Arabidopsis thaliana: one gene and its partner. The protein of the gene in region 2 interacts with the protein of the main gene of each other region in a biochemical or structural test. Each region holds a gene or a part of one and is shown on either strand. Other genes may lie near its edges.

Evidence for each region. Proteins that work in one complex are often made in the same cells at the same time.
Region 1: of the proteins of RAC2 (region 2) and ROPGEF1, one has a biochemical effect on the other in vitro, tested with the Arabidopsis thaliana proteins (one study listed by BioGRID).

Annotation. Positions count from the first base shown.
Region 1 is NC_003075.7:17,984,701-17,989,591, reverse strand, and holds ROPGEF1 (rho guanyl-nucleotide exchange factor 1), read right to left. Parts: upstream 3,209-4,891; 5' UTR 2,950-3,208; coding exon 2,682-2,949; intron 2,595-2,681; coding exon 2,478-2,594; intron 2,392-2,477; coding exon 1,871-2,391; intron 1,759-1,870; coding exon 1,405-1,758; intron 1,320-1,404; coding exon 933-1,319; 3' UTR 723-932; downstream 1-722. Other genes in the region: IYO (RPAP1-like, carboxy-terminal protein), read right to left, coding at 1-115, 304-477; sks9 (SKU5 similar 9), read right to left, coding at 4,419-4,628, 4,708-4,786, 4,887-4,891. UniProt on the Arabidopsis thaliana protein: Guanine-nucleotide exchange factor (GEF) that acts as an activator of Rop (Rho of plants) GTPases by promoting the exchange of GDP for GTP. Acts downstream of PRK2 in the control of polarized pollen tube growth by activating ARAC11/ROP1.
Region 2 is NC_003076.8:18,641,599-18,646,564, forward strand, and holds RAC2 (RAC-like 2), read left to right. Parts: upstream 1-1,941; 5' UTR 1,942-2,162; coding exon 2,163-2,261; intron 2,262-2,582; coding exon 2,583-2,670; intron 2,671-2,755; coding exon 2,756-2,865; intron 2,866-2,985; coding exon 2,986-3,049; intron 3,050-3,637; coding exon 3,638-3,702; intron 3,703-3,780; coding exon 3,781-3,846; intron 3,847-4,046; coding exon 4,047-4,160; 3' UTR 4,161-4,378; downstream 4,379-4,966. UniProt on the Arabidopsis thaliana protein: Inactive GDP-bound Rho GTPases reside in the cytosol, are found in a complex with Rho GDP-dissociation inhibitors (Rho GDIs), and are released from the GDI protein in order to translocate to membranes upon activation.

The DNA of each region.
Region 1 (4,891 bases), on a different chromosome or scaffold from region 2:
TAGCAAAAGCAGCAATGGAGTCTGCATTCATGAAACGTTCTTCTGCTTCTTCTTCTTCCTGATCGTCATTGTAATCCTTAGGTTGTGCTATGCTGCTTCCCACAGGAGCCAAATGCTACAAAATCAAACATGAGAAACAAAAATTAGATGTCTCAGAAAGCTGAATTACAAGGTCAGGCACGGTGAAAAATTGTGGAGTCCCAAGTACTAAACAACAGTAGAAGGTGCTTAAAATCTAGAAGAAGGCAACAAAAGGAAGATGGAAACCTAAAAAGCACGCACTAGAGGATTGGATTGGCTTACGGGTCCGTGAGAACGATGACGAGCGACGGGGAAGGAAAGAAGGGAGGGCCTTGGGGGAAGCGGCTTGCTTGGAGGCTTATTCTCCGATATTCCTTTCTCCACGATGCTCCCGACAAGGCTCGCCAAGACGTTGTTCGGCTGTTCCGGATTGACTCTCCCGCTACTTTGCTCCATCACTCTAAACCCTCTCTCGCCTCCGCTCAGCAAAACGGAAAACTCTTTAAAACTCCGTGTCGTCCCGATAGCTTATAAGAACAAGTAAAAAATAACAAGAAAACCCCTTTCTGACTTTTTAATTATAAAATTGGAACATCAACTTTAATCCTGTGCAAAACAAACCATATAGTCATAGTCTATATTTGAACCAAAAGTTGTCGCTTTAGTGCAATGAAGAACATGATTAAATCACTCAAGAGACGGGTATGTGATGTTCATTCAGTTTTAGGACTTGGACCATAATCTTTGTAAACTTGGTAAATGAGCTAAGGAATTGATTTGTTAACAACATTTCAAAACTCCACATAAGATAACATTCTTGTTGCTATTACCACATTCGTCTTCGTAGTCAGACAAACAAGAAACAACTACAGTCTCTACAACCATTGATTTACATTCTTCTATTTTCAATCTTAATCTCTTTCCGGCGTCACTCCCGTTACTCTTCTTGAACTCAGATTCCCTGCATACGACCATGCTTTCTCTGTTTCTCCCACTATTCCCTTCTCTCTCGTCCCATTCCTCTTCACTGAATACAGCGGCGGTGCTCTCCTCGGGCTTCTTGATGCTACACTTAGGGCAGGCGTTGCAAATGGTGAACCGTGCGGAGAGCTCTGCACAGAGAACGCTTTTTGAGGGTTGAGTCCATTGATGCTGAATAGGGATAGCGATTCTGTGACAGAGATGGATCTTCTCATGGCATCATCAACATAAAGCACATCATCTATTCTGGCCGTGATGTTGAAGGCCATGCTCTCCATCACCCTAGAGTAACTCTCCAGAATTGATTGCCCTACATCCTGCAAGAACACACACAAACTCTTAAATTATCTAAGCATCGTTTCATGATGCAACCAGCAAAGCACACTCCAAACTATAATGTACCTTGTTGTACTGAATCTTGTTCATGTCCAGCGTTGTCTGGGGAAGTCCCGGGAAACGGATCCTGAGACTCTGCAAGAGGGTCTCGGCTCTCTGCACAAGGAAATCATTTCTTTCGTTGTCATTAACAAGGCCTTTAACCTTGCCACCCCAAGAAGACAGCTTTAGTTTCGCCTGCTTCTTGTGCCTCCTCCCATTCTTTTGTCTCCAAACATGCACAGCCGCCTCAATCCGGTTGGCGATTTCAAGAGTCTGATGTTCCGATGAGAGATCAAGACAGTCCAGGAGGCATTCGGGAGAGAACTTGTTTGCAGTTAAGTACTGGTAGATGATCTCTCCAAGACATTCCTTCCCGCTCTGCATTAAGTTTAAAATCATAACTCAATGAGCTAATCACATATAACGGTAAAAGAATTTATGCTCCAGCAGCAATGAAAAAGCTAATCCTTGAGCTCGAGAAGGCGCATACCTTGGGCAAAGTCTCCAAGTAAGGGTCGGGAATCTCCATTTCGGCAAGCACGCCACTGTTAATTGCCAATGCAGCCTTGAGAATCTGGTTAGCAAAGTCCCGACACTGCTGCAGTTTCTTCCTGGCCTCTTCTGACAAACCGTTAGGCGGAACCTTAGGGCAAGGCAGCCACCACTTGTCCTCCTGCCTAACGGAAGCTGGAGAATTGTAAGAATCCTTGTCACAATCACCAAGAACTATGCCGCGATCAGTGTACCAGAACTCAGTATCGGAGAAAGCGTCAAGCATATCGATCAACATAGCATCGAGCTTCTTGAGAGCAGGGAGATTGGCATAGAGATCAGAACGTGGACGGGTCTCCATGATCTCATAAGTTCCGCCTCCAGGGAACTGCTGAATGGAAGGAATGAGCTCAACGATAGAATCGCTAACACAGAGCAGCCACTCAAGTTCTCTGCGCCACATGGCCTTCTTCTGAGGAGCAAGAGGCTCAAGCCTCCATAGTTCGCCAAACACAGTCGCTGTGTGGACACTAGCCTTATTAAAAAACTAGAAACCCCTACTATATATACCAACTAACAAAAAGGGAAGAAGATTGAGATGGTACCAGAGAGATTGGTGATGGCGTTGGAGATAGCAAGCGCCGTACAAACCCCTTTACCTCCACCAGACATGTCTTCCCCGAGAAGTAGCTTAGCAAATCTCTCCTTCATCATCTCAATTTCTGAAACCCAATAGGAAACAAAAGGGAAATTGAATCCTAGTGTTCATCAATGTTTACAAAAGAGGTCAAATTTGGAAACTTTTATACCGGATAAATCGTTGTCTGGTTGTTTGTCATCCCAGACCACATCTTTGCCGCCGATCACCGGAAGCATGACTGGGGCCGGGAAGTAAAATCCTCTACCAGCGACAACTCGAGGGGAAGAAGGGATGGAGCTAGAGGCACCCTCGCCGTCGAAGCGGTGGCAGGAGAAGCTGCTGGAACTCTCGGACTCGCTAATGTCGGCGCTGGGACTGTAACTTCCGCATCTCTCGGAAGAGACTTCGTCGTCTTCCTCAGAAGATAAGCTCCCCATTATTGAAGCGGCAGAGATCTAATAACGGCTCAAAGAGTCCACATTTGGGTTAAGAGACAGACAGAGAAAGGAAGAAGAAGGAAGTGGATGTGATGATGATGCTTGTTTGATAAAAAGCAAAGCTCAGAGAGAAAGAGAGAGAGAGATGAGAGATAACAAATAAAAAAGACTCCTTTCATTTCCTCACTCACACTCTCTCTCTTCTTTTCTCTCCCATCCATCCATACTCACGGCGTTATCCTCTGCCGTTAGGGACAGGTATGAGGTTGGTAACAGATAAACCGTTAACTCACGGTCGTCACATTTTTTAACGGCGAGATTAAATTATATCCCACGGCCGTTCTCATAAGAGGAGCATGCGCTTGTGTTATATCAACCGTTGGATATTAAAAGTGAACCATCAGGATCTTTTCTACAGAGCAGAATTGAGAATCTCGAAGCGACCGAGAAAATAAAGAAAGGCTGACATTGTGTGGACTAGAAGTATTCCTTGTCGGATCATCAGACTCTCTCGTACCACACCGGCCTGAACTACGTTGCACCATATCTATCCTCGTGATTTTACGCCACGTGTATTACGCCCATTCGCCTGATCTACACTGTCCATAGTATTCTGGCGTCATTAAAGTATTCACATCGTACGGTCTAGATTGCGTTTGGCTTACTTATTTCGTGGATTCCGCTGTTTTCGGTTATGGTTTTTTCACGCAACGAATCTAAGCCGTTGATTATATTACTCTTCTTAATTCAATTCATTAAAGTACCTATTTAATGCCCTTTGAATTCGGGTTAATATAGTAATCTACAATATTAATGTCACTGATCACTAGAATATGCTATGGATTGGTGTTGATTCACATGCATGGCTTAATTAGTTGACTCTCTGCTCTTTTTTTTTCTTCTCTAAAAGGCTTTTAACCTTCCAAATAAACGTTTGTTTGTCTTGGCATTATTAGCAAATCTTTTCCATTGCCATGTTTTTCATTCGATTGACAGCCTTGTAATTTGTAATTGCAAGGTCAACAAAAACTTTGACCAAATAGAACAACTTTCTATACCAATAAACATTCTACATCTACCGGTGGATAATAATTTAAATTTTTATTTCATCGTTAAAGTCTGTTTATTCGAAATTAATGTTTCTAATATGTTATGTATGGTTTTTTTTTTTTTTTAATTTACTCTCTCTCTTCAAACTATACTATTTTGCTTGGTGATATGGTAGAGTTACTTGGTTGATTCATATGAAAACATTGCATTTGCCTACAAAAATTAACTTCAAACTTAGCAATAACCGTTACAAAACAGTAAAATTTTCATCAAATTTGGGTATACATTACAATTTTTGAAGTATATATAATAATTGTGCAACATATATCTAGCTATTGAAATTATAAAGAATAAAGAACTCAATATAATAAAATACATATCCCTAAATCAGCCATTGACGATTGGTCTGAGTAGAGTCATTAAGGAGTGGTGTGTTTATTGGAGGCTCGGCCACACAACAAAGCATTCTTAGGCAAAAGATATTCATCTCTAAGAGAGTGTGTTGGAGAATAAACTCGAAGGTAGAATTGTTGACCCAAGTATTGCCTCGCCCAATATTCACTCCTTAGATTCCACATCCCCACATTGTCCAGTGCCACATATACGGCTGTCCAAGATTCTGGATATACCTACAACAACCAAATACTAGTTTTGAGATGATTTTTTAAAATTTTTGGTAAGATATATGGAGTTAGAAACTATTTGTACCTGAGTGGTGGAGCGAGAAATAGCATCCCTAAGATTATACTCTCGTCTGCTTGCTTTTGACCATGTTCCTCTATCCGTCCTGTGGACAGTACTCACAAACATCAGATGCATGCAATGCATTATTACTAGCTACTATATATAGAGGACGATAGATATAGCTAATCTTTAATTATTCTCACCCAAC
Region 2 (4,966 bases):
AACTAAAACTATACATAATAATCATTTCACTCTACATATAATGCGGATAAACTACTTAGTTTATTTTATTATATAGCATTTTTTTTGTCAACCTGTTTTATTCGATTATACAATGGAACCAGTAATAGGGATAAAAAAAGATTTGTTGAGAGATCAAGCTAGAGTCTCGTCACTCTGATCTTATAATCAGCTAGCTCAGTGAATGGTTCAACTCTAATTTTCCTTTTGTTAATCTGATCTATCAAGGAGAAGTCGATGATTGCTCTTACAAGTTACATCTCAAGATGAGATACTTGAGGCTTATTGGGCTCTTCTTCTTTGGATACTTCTAGGTTCAAGTTGAGGCTTTTAGTGGGCTTATTTTGATAAGTTTTTATCTATTATCGACCTGAATTAGCAAACTAGTCAGTTTTCAGAACATATTTAGAAAATTAGTCATTTTACTAGTCACAATTTATAAAAAAGTCACTTTTCACTGTTTGATTTGTACATTTAGATTTGTACAATACTTTTAGTATACATATGTATATAGATATACACAGCGTACACTTACATCTGTATACTAAAAGTGTTGTACAAATTTAAATGTACAAATCAAACAGTGAAAAGTGACTACTTTGCAAATTGTGAATAGTAAAATAACTAGTTTTCTAAATATGTTTGAAAAATTGACTATTTTTTCATTTATCCCATTTTAAAATGTATGAACAGTACAATATTATTAATATTATGCTCTATTTTAAATCAATGGAAAATTTTATATAAAAAATGCATAATGAGGAAGAGACACACAAATTCAATTGTTAGGAAAGAAAGACTTTCACTACATTAGTGCTCCTAAACTTTTGCTCTACGCAGTATAACCTCTAATTTACTGGTAACTTATATTTGAAGTGATTTACGTATGATACTACTTGAAGCACCAAACTGTACTTCTATAAACTCAGGTAACAGTAGCTACGTTATTATAATAATAATAAAAAATGTTATAATAAGGTTTTAAAGAAAGTAAATATCAACATTATATATGGGGACATACATTGATTCAGTTTTTGATAAATAGTGTAATTTGTATTTGAGTTAAAAAATTTGCCTTTATTTATATATTCCCCTCGAAGAAAAACTTTATTTACGTCCCAAAAAAGTATTTTTGGATTCGCCATGAATGTTTGATCATTCATATTTCAGAAAGTATTATAAATCATCGTATATCTGCATGAGAGTTTCATGCATAATACTCTTTAAAAGAAAATTGTTGGATAACGTAAAACAAAAGTGTTGGATGACGTCAAAAAAACTGTGAGGTGACGAAGAAGACAGATGGAAATTGTATTTTTGAACACACTAAAAAAATCGTAATATGTAAGCCAATTCATGTCATTATTGAATGTTGTTAAAATGAATCAAATAAGGCAAAACATAAAATATTGAAGAAAAAGATTTTATAAGAAAATGTAAAAACACTAGAGAAAGTAAGATGAGAGTTCCTTCTCCAACACTTAAAAACCCACTCACAACCAACACCAAACGGCTACATCACTTTCGGTGACCGCATGATCTTGCACTTGAAGTTAAAGAAATACTCAATTCCTAATCATTTTAACTCATTAATTTAATTAAACTAAAAATATCAAACCAATATATGAAAGGCAAAAGGTGAACAATATTTCAGCTTTTTGGTAAAATTTGTTTCGATTCTGCTAAATATCATTTTGCTTTGGACCTGGTTAGAAAAGTCAGATCAAATTTGGAAAGAAATACAAATTAGTGAGTACATGTAATAATAAAATTTAACTATTTTCAATACATGATTTTAATATTTGTATTTATTTAAGAAGATTATAATTCAATTGTTTCAGTGAGGAGTTGTTTGGTTTACTCGGTTTATTATATATGATGATATACAAAACCAGTTCTTTAATTTGGTATTTGTTTCAGTATGTTTGCTTCAAATTTCCTTCCCTTACGAATAAGCAACTAATAATGATCAATGAAAGTTGTAACAGAGACATCCTCCTTACCAATAAACAACTATAATCATCACAAAAGCTTCTTAAGAACCTTCCACCACTTCTCTTCTCTTCTGAACATAAAACCCAAACACATTCACAAAATTCATAAACATAAAAAAATAAAAGAAATTGAAGACAAAAGCAAAGAAAATGAGCACAGCAAGATTCATTAAGTGTGTGACTGTCGGAGATGGAGCAGTGGGAAAGACTTGTATGCTCATTTCATATACCAGCAATACGTTTCCTACGGTAACTTTTAATTTCTTAGCAAACTTGATATATATCCAGATATATTTTCAAATTGATGTTTTAAGATATTTATGTTAGGCTCCTGAGATCTTTGCTCATTTTAAACGTTGTTCATGGCAAATTAATAAGAGCCTAGTTTCATCTTTTGCGTTTATATTTCCATATCCGTTTAAGCATATTTTTCCTAGAATCATTAACGTGAAATATATCTAAAGCTGAATTCAAACCCATGCTTCTGGATTTTTGCTATCTGTTTACTTAAGAAACATGGTTTAATGTATGTTTTTTGATATATAAATGATTTAACTATCTAATTTACAGGATTATGTTCCAACAGTTTTCGACAACTTCAGCGCAAATGTGGTGGTCGACGGGAGTACCGTGAACCTTGGCCTGTGGGATACTGCCGGTACGCCGTATGATTACTTGATTATACTAAAACTGATTATTAATGAATGCTAGTTACGATAAAAGTTATTATTGTGGAATTACAGGTCAGGAAGATTATAATAGGCTTAGGCCTTTGAGTTACAGAGGAGCAGATGTCTTCTTATTAGCATTTTCCCTTATAAGCAAGGCCAGTTACGAGAATATTCACAAAAAGGTAACTTTAAAAGTTTTTCCATCCGTTTTTTTTTATAGATAAGAAACTATGATTATATGATAAAGTATTTCTAGAAAAATTTGTTGACACTGACTGATTAATTAATCTGGTGATTAATAGTGGCTTCCGGAGCTGAAACATTATGCTCCTGGCATCCCCATTGTGCTCGTCGGAACAAAATTAGGTAACGAAAACTTTCCCCTTATGAGTTCATAAAGAAACTTAATTTATCAACATTTGTGTCAAATTAGATATGGTCTTGAGTAATAATCCGCAGATCATACGTTTTTCATTTGCAAAAGAAAGAAAAAAATTCTACAAGAAGCTACTTTTTCGTCAAATAGTAATACACTCTCTTTCACTCTGAATAATATTGAGATATCACTAAATAATATGTTATTTAGAAAATAACACCTATAGTAAATGTATTTTGAAAAATTACCTAATTAATTCAGGCCAGTAAATTATATTATTTGTTCTGTTATGCTACAGTTTTAATGAAAAACATGTGAAAAAAGAATAACATTTTCAAATTCGATAGTTGTATAAAAACAGTTAGATTTTCATCTAATAGCAGAAAAATGTTCAAATGTAGGAAGATATAGCCACTTGGATCGTTAATGGCATCATGAATAGTGGCCCAATTTAACATTTATTCAACAACTTATATTGAAAAAGCTAATACATTTCTCCATTTGATTTATGGTATCTCTTGTGTTATTGATAATATCTTTTTATTCAAAACAATAATGTTACACAAAAATGAATATAGATTTGAGGGATGACAAGCAGTTCTTGAAGGATCATCCAGGAGCAGCTTCTATAACAACTGCTCAGGTACCATACACAAATCTTTAAAAAATAATCTATACAAAAATAAATTCATAAACAATTATGAATGGATTTGAGTAACAGGGAGAAGAATTAAGGAAAATGATTGGAGCTGTTAGGTACTTAGAGTGCAGCTCCAAAACCCAACAGGTACTTAGAGTAAATTCAACATGTATTTAGGTACTTAGAGTGCAGCTCCAAATGTTTTTTTGCCAAAATTTTCATACTAATAATTTGAATCCACAAATATATATATATATATATATATATATATATATAGTAAATTGAAATACTTAATGAAGTTAAATTAAATAAACTGAAAAAGTTTTTTGTTTGTGAATGTTTAATAGAATGTGAAGGCAGTGTTTGATACAGCGATAAGGGTAGCTTTGAGGCCACCAAAGGCAAAGAAAAAGATAAAACCATTGAAGACTAAGAGATCAAGAATATGCTTTTTCCTATAATATCTGAACAGATTTCAATAAATAACAAACATTTATATATACTTGTATTTTGATATTTTTTTGAATATTTTCTACTTGAAATAGTGGACTTTGCTTCATCACGTTATTGGCGAGAGTATTGTCGAATCATGTTACCATTATTCGGGAGAAATTTGTAAAATAGTAGTAATTTGGCAAGAAAATTGAGGATTGATATTTTTTCCCCATAAATTGTGGAATCACGCTTTTTGGTGACAATTTGCGAATTCTAGTTTTTAGCAAAAAAAATTAAAGAGTAATGTTTTTTGATGAAAAAATTATGGATACAAGTTTGAATCAATAATATGAGATTTTCGTCTTTGAAAAATAAAATTTCAAGTTTAAAATTTTGGCTAAAAAAATGTGGATTCAATTTATTGATAAGAAAATTGTATTAATCCTCACTTGAAACTCCTTACACTCTTTCTACATGAGTAAGACATAAACAAATGTGACGTTCATGCTCCAGTTCTTATATATGTCCAATGTATAACCTGAGCAAAATATACTTATGCACTTATAATACCTTAATTACCCGTCTTACTTTGAGGCTGGATCTTGTCCTTTAAGTAATCTATCTTCTGGGAAAAATAGAACTCAAGGGCTCTTACGTTCAATGTTAAAAAATGGTACCATTTCCTTGCAAAAACTCAGCTGTTTCAGAAAAGATTTCAAAAGCTAGCATACCTATACCATAACACACAAAGTTTTATACATTGGGGTAGTCCACAATAAGAACTGAGAGAACGTTGTTTGCTAGATAGGAGGCTCTTTCATTGAAGAGTATG